Linked DNA regions of Saccharomyces cerevisiae S288C. The protein of the gene in region 1 binds, or shares a complex with, the protein of each later gene. Each region holds a gene or a part of one and is shown on either strand. Other genes may lie near its edges. The genes, in order: TRS33 and TCA17. A codon is read from its position in the direction of its gene.

Region 1 (3,105 bases):
AACTGCAAACGAAATATTAGGACCATTGGAGGAAAGGTTGGTCAGATATGATAATAGTGGATGTTTAGTGAAAAGGGAAGACTTGAATAAAGCGGAATATGTGGATCAGTATGATGCCGAGAGAGATTTTTACCATTCCTTAAGAGAATATATTAATGGCAAAGCAACTGCTTTGGCTAATTTAAGAAAGTCCAGGGGAATGTTAGGCCTATTAGAACCTCCTGCAAAAGAATTACAAGGTATTGATCCAGATGAAACCGTTCCTGATAATGTTAAAACATCTGTAAGCCAACTTTATAGAATCAGTGAAAAATCGGTGAGAAAGTTTTTAGAAATTGCTCTTTTCAAATATCGTAAGGCAAGACTGGAGCCAGGTACTGCTATTGGTGCTATTGGTGCTCAATCCATTGGTGAACCAGGTACACAAATGACATTGAAGACCTTTCATTTTGCAGGTGTGGCTTCCATGAATGTTACATTAGGTGTTCCTCGTATCAAAGAAATTATCAATGCTTCCAAGGTCATTTCTACACCTATTATAAATGCTGTATTAGTAAATGATAACGATGAAAGGGCTGCTAGGGTTGTTAAAGGTAGAGTGGAAAAGACACTGCTATCTGACGTAGCTTTCTATGTCCAAGATGTTTACAAAGACAACTTGTCTTTCATTCAAGTGCGTATTGATTTAGGTACGATTGATAAACTACAATTGGAGTTGACCATAGAAGATATCGCGGTTGCTATAACCAGGGCTTCTAAATTGAAAATACAAGCCTCTGATGTCAATATTATTGGTAAAGATCGAATTGCAATCAACGTATTCCCAGAAGGGTACAAAGCAAAATCGATATCTACATCTGCGAAAGAACCAAGTGAGAATGATGTTTTTTACCGAATGCAACAGTTACGTCGTGCGCTTCCTGATGTTGTTGTTAAAGGTTTACCTGATATTTCTCGTGCGGTTATTAATATTCGCGATGACGGCAAGAGGGAATTATTGGTTGAAGGTTACGGCCTGCGAGATGTGATGTGTACAGATGGTGTCATTGGTTCTAGAACTACAACTAACCATGTTTTAGAAGTCTTTTCCGTTTTGGGTATCGAAGCTGCAAGATATAGCATTATTAGAGAAATTAACTATACCATGAGTAATCACGGTATGAGTGTCGATCCACGTCATATCCAACTATTAGGTGATGTGATGACATATAAGGGTGAAGTGTTGGGTATTACAAGATTTGGTTTGAGTAAAATGAGGGACTCTGTTTTGCAGCTAGCCTCCTTCGAAAAGACAACTGACCATTTATTCGATGCGGCCTTTTATATGAAAAAGGACGCTGTTGAAGGTGTTTCTGAATGTATTATTTTGGGTCAAACGATGTCGATCGGTACCGGTTCCTTTAAAGTTGTTAAAGGTACTAATATATCTGAAAAGGATCTGGTTCCTAAGCGATGTCTATTTGAAAGTCTCTCAAATGAGGCAGCTTTAAAAGCGAACTAAAGTAGTCGTTTTTAAACTTTTTTATAGCATTTGTATTATTTTTCTACCACAGTCATTTAACGTATTTATACATATAAAACTACATGATAAAAACCATGAAACAAAATTTACTTATAAGAAATTTGCTTTCTTCACATTAGTAGAACCAGCGTATCGTTTTCAAAAACTCGCGTCAACGTTTTGAGACCAAAAATGCTAAATATTTTGGAATCTGGTATGCACTCACAAGCTGAGAGTGAAGACCTCATGCCATAAAAGAAAACATACACCGGTTATAAAGTTGGAAGATAAACAATTATGTCCTCTACACATAGTAATAATGTAGGACATCCCCAATCTTCTCCACAAGGTCCACTAACGGAACAACAAAGAGCACAACAGCAATATCAAATTTTTGAGAATTCATTACCAAAAGTAAGTCAATCTGTGTATCAGATGCTGTTGAACGAGATGGTTCCTCTAGCTATGGGCATTGAGAGGCAAATATCAGGCGATGTTATCAGTTCTGATAGCAATGTAACTTCCGAAAATGGTAACATCAACAATATGATAAAGAGACTGAAGATAGAGGAACATCATACAGTAGATATCATACGTTCTCATAACTTGATACATGAGCTGTATAAGGCGGATGAAGAGGAAAAAGAAAAGGTTTTAGCAAGACTGAGGAATATTGGGTTTCAAATCGGATTGAAGCTGTCAGAGTTATTGATATTTTCTAACAACCCAAATTTAAAATTCAAGGAAATGGACCTTCTATTAATAATGAAGTTCATTTGTAGGGATGTCTGGAAACAAATATTTGGTAAACAGATCGATAATTTAAAAACAAACCACAGAGGAACCTTTTACCTTCTTGATTATGACTATCGACCTATTCAATCATTTTCTTTGGAGGAAGATGCAAAAAACGAGGAGTTAAAAATGATAGAACCGTTTTTGGAGATACCTGTGGGAATTATTAGAGGCGTGTTGTCTTCCTTAGGTTATTCATCTGAAGAGGTCATTTGCTTGGCGTCTTTTATCGACAGGCCAACAGATAGGCCTAAAACAGCTTTTCCCAAGGGAGTTAGCTTCCATGTTCAAGTCACAATGCCGCAGTAAAGGTCCGACAGATTTTTGTTCTAAGAATGTACATCGACATATAGATAGATATAAGTGTGTATATAAAAGAACAGGTGACTCCGTTTTCAAAATAATACCCTTACTATAAAATCTTGACAATAATTTCTTTGATCAAGGTACATATAGTCTTTATGATAGTGAAGTGCTTTCGTGGACTCTTCTTAAAGCCCTAAAAGTCTATTGTCATTTCTTTTTTAGTAGGTACGTCATGGGAAGAATATTATTTGGTTGTGTATTTGTATCGTGATTCGCTGCTGTAAGATAGGACTCACTTCTGAGACCAAACTTTGACATGATATCCATGTTTTTTTGTAATATTTGTATCTCGTTATCCATCATTTCCTCAAATTTTGCCCTCCATACCTGTAATTTTTTTCTAATTTCTAGTTTCTGGTCATAGTCAACCTCTTCGTTCCAAGCATACCGGCATTCTTTGCACATTTGTTGAAACCTTTTCATATAATCATAAAGGTAATTTT
Region 2 (3,376 bases), on another chromosome or scaffold:
CAACTACGGTGACTTCACCACCATGTTGACTGGTATTGCCCCAGACCAAGTGACCAGAATGATCACCGGTGTTCCATGGTACTCCAGCAGATTAAAGCCAGCCATTTCCAGTGCTCTATCCAAGGACGGTATCTACACTATCGCAAACTAGAGACAAACGCCAATTTAATGAAGGAAATGCTATGAAACTTAGATAATGAAATAAAAAAAAACCCTTTTTTTTTTTTTGGTAGTATAAATATCTTTATACGTACATACGTGAACAATCACATCATATCTGTCAATTCTCGTTGTAACCATAACCTAGCACTTATTTCAGACTTTCCAAAGGTCGCAGTATCTTTATGACGAGCCATCCCATGTAAAAATTGCCGTGCCGGATATGAAGTGACAAAGATCAGTCTATATCTCGGAAAGCCAACAAATATCTTCATTATGAAGTAACGTATAGTGATTGCTTCCACATCTGTTCAATTCGGACAATTTTCGTTAGCAGTAGAGTCAAAGCGATCGCCTTAATTGTCTCCGTATCTTATTTATTCATGAACAGCATGACAATTGACAGTCACTTGAATGAAGTAGAAAGTTTGATTGTCACGGTCATCTGAGATATACTACCGGCACCTGATCCCCGCTAATTAGGCAAGGCGAAACTGTCACCAAGTTGGACATATTAGACATTAATAACTTCTCTGAATCGCTCTCACTCCAAAGCAGTGACATTAAATTTTGCTTTCATTCGTGAAAGAATCGACTAATAAATTATCATTTATAATTCAACTTCAGTTGAAATAAACAACTCATCAAATTTTCTTTCCAAGCTTTTTATAATGGACTTTTCGTCACCGCTAACAAGTAAAGGATTACATTTGACACGTATATAGATTTTTCTTACGGTTTCGAAAATCTGATTGATTGCTTCAAATTCATCATCAGCTCCACTTAGGCTTTTTTGTTCAAATCCAATGACAATCTTCAGGCCCGTCTGCTTAATCAACATAGCAAATACAGAGACACCTTCCAATTGAAAAATTGACTTCAGAAGAGGTTTGGAATCTAAAGAATGCCATTCAACCAAAGCACTTTCAAAATAATCTAACGATATGTTAGAAAGCACGTTATATTTGAGTACATCATTCATCTCATTCTCCGCCTCATTAGGGACGTAAATCAATATAGGTTTATCAGATTCATCTATCAATGATACGAAGCAAGGCCTCAAGCTCATAGTTTGGTGATATAAACGTACAATTTGATTTTTGGAGAGAATATTTACTCAATTTTCAACTCAATAACTTTTATGTAAAATGTTTCTTGGCCGTCGATGAGCTCTTCCGGCAGAACTTCGAAAGTGAAAAAAAAAAAAAAAAAAAAATAATAATAATATTAATACTACTTATATACTATTAAAAAATCGTTTAGAAATGATTCATTTATAAAATTCGTTACTTGCGGTCATTGGCAATAGATTCAGCTGCGGTTCTCCCAAAGACAACGCATTCTAACAAACTTGAACCACCCAACCTATTGGCGCCATGAACACCGCCAGAAACTTCACCGGCCGCGTACAGGCCTTTTAGTAGCCTTTCGTCGTTCTTGCCAATGACTTGAGCCTTGACATTGATTCTAGCACCACCCATGGTGAAATGGACAACCGGTGTTACTTCACCAATAAAAACCACAGTTTCTGGAGTAACGTCAGAGCCAAATTCGTTGAGAATAACGGTACGTCCCAACGGATCAGCCTTGGTAGTGAAGGAAGAGTATGTTTGCAATTCCTCGCATAATTGGGCGACAGTGATTGGTAAATTATATTCAGAAACAACTTGAGATAATGTCAATTTCTGTACAAGTTTCTTGAACATGTAAAAATCTAAATTATTCTTCAAATCTGTGTACATTTTTTCGCCCATAACCAATAGTGCTCTGTTATCCTCTTGAGGACAAACCTTTTGAATAGCTGCAGTGACTACATCTCTTGTGGTCAATTCGTTGACAAATCTTCTACCGGTAATAGGGTTTAATAGGATACCACCAAGACCTCTTAAGGATTCGGCAGCCAAGAATTTCCAGCTTGAGCTACGGTCATTTGGATCAATGAACCCAGTTGGATGAACTTGAATTTGGTCCATGTCAATCAGATCAGCGCCTAACTTCTGCAGAAGCCTTTGACCATCACCAGTTGTTTGTTGCCCGTTTGTTGTTGGCAAGTTCACCAGTTCGGGTGCGTATTCTTTAAGCATTTCCTTAGAAAAGCCAAACCCTCCAGAACAAAAAACGACATCGTTAGCACTCACCATGTGCTTTTCGCCATTCTTGTCCTCGTACACTACAGCAGAAATGGAGCCATCCTTTTCATGGATGTCTACGACTTTACTGTCTAAGTTAATCTTAACTAACTCTGGTTTAGTCTCAGCTAATTTCTTCAAATTGTTAGATAAGGCAGAAACAATTTCGAAACCTGGAGGCAACTTCCCAGACGATCTGTGAGTTCTTGCCACAGAGTGGCCACCCAATTGAGCCAATAGGTCCAATTTCAAATCAAATTCGTTTTTCAACCATTCAATAGCCAGGGGAGAATCATTGGCCAACTTAGCCATTAATTCTTGGACACCTTTACCTTTAGCAGACTTGATGGTGTCATCTTCAAATAAGCGTGGGGAGTCCTCGATGTGGAAGTGACGTTGAGTCTCGGTGCAAGCACCGTTAATACCACTGGAGGCCTTGATAGAGTTCCCACCGATCGAGGAAGCCTTTTCGAGGATGGTTACAGGGATGTTATACTTGTTAACCAATTCATTGGCAGCAGCCAGCCCGGCCAAACCGGTTCCAATAACAACAACGGGAGAGAGAGACATTTACAATTACGGATGAGGGGTTGTTGAAGTGAAGATAAGAAAAAAAAATGGGGTGCTATGTCAGCGTATTGTTCTCAGCTTTTATACGTGCAATAGATTAAGCTGTTCAGGAACGCGACGCGTTGCCCCCGTTACCGTTTGAAAAGAAAAAAATTTTCTTTTTCATACCTGTCTCTATTGTTTCAGTCATTCACTGCATGATGACAAATGAAAGAAGAAAGACAATAGTAGTAAAAGCAAAAAAGGAATTAAAGTGAACGTTTTTTAGACTCTTACGCATACATATAAATATATATATATATTTGTATAAAAGGTGTACGTCGAAATCCTGTGAAGAAACCCTGCGAGAATATACATGGGTACATTCAATCTTAATACGTAGTATCGTAGAATACAAAGAAATGTGCTTCTCCACGTGGATACGTACCGTTGTAAACTTTAATCAAGTACCAAAAAAACCAAACATATTCAGTCGATCTCTCAATGGGGAACAAAGAAAAGAGGTTCTTACCTTTTTT

The links.
Region 2: the proteins of TRS33 (region 1) and TCA17 are in contact, whole or in part, in a cryo-EM structure (PDB 7E8T), measured with the Saccharomyces cerevisiae proteins. Residues at the interface, in NP_014758.3 of Saccharomyces cerevisiae: Lys133 (codon at 2,195), Glu136 (codon at 2,204), Leu137 (codon at 2,207), Ile139 (codon at 2,213), Phe140 (codon at 2,216), Asn142 (codon at 2,222), Asn143 (codon at 2,225), Pro144 (codon at 2,228), Asn145 (codon at 2,231), Leu146 (codon at 2,234), Lys147 (codon at 2,237), Phe148 (codon at 2,240), Ser228 (codon at 2,480), Leu229 (codon at 2,483); in NP_010866.1 of Saccharomyces cerevisiae: Glu13 (codon at 1,192), Ser56 (codon at 1,063), Leu57 (codon at 1,060), Asp58 (codon at 1,057), Ser59 (codon at 1,054), Lys80 (codon at 991), Gln81 (codon at 988), Thr82 (codon at 985), Gly83 (codon at 982), Glu110 (codon at 901), Arg113 (codon at 892), Lys114 (codon at 889), Ile117 (codon at 880), Lys120 (codon at 871), Cys121 (codon at 868), Asn122 (codon at 865), Pro123 (codon at 862).

The regions. Positions count from the first base shown.
Region 1 is NC_001147.6:538,159-541,263, reverse strand, and holds TRS33 (Trs33p), read left to right. Parts: upstream 1-1,798; coding exon 1,799-2,605; downstream 2,606-3,105. Other genes in the region: DNA-directed RNA polymerase III core subunit RPO31, read left to right, coding at 1-1,501; mitochondrial HMG-box protein CIM1, read right to left, coding at 2,810-3,105.
Region 2 is NC_001137.3:63,940-67,315, forward strand, and holds TCA17 (Tca17p), read right to left. Parts: upstream 1,229-3,376; coding exon 770-1,228; downstream 1-769. Other genes in the region: seripauperin PAU2, read left to right, coding at 1-151; FRD1 (fumarate reductase), read right to left, coding at 1,446-2,858. UniProt on the Saccharomyces cerevisiae protein: Required, together with the TRAPP II subunit TRS33, for TRAPP II complex assembly or stability, and for proper Golgi localization of TRAPP and the Rab GTPase YPT31.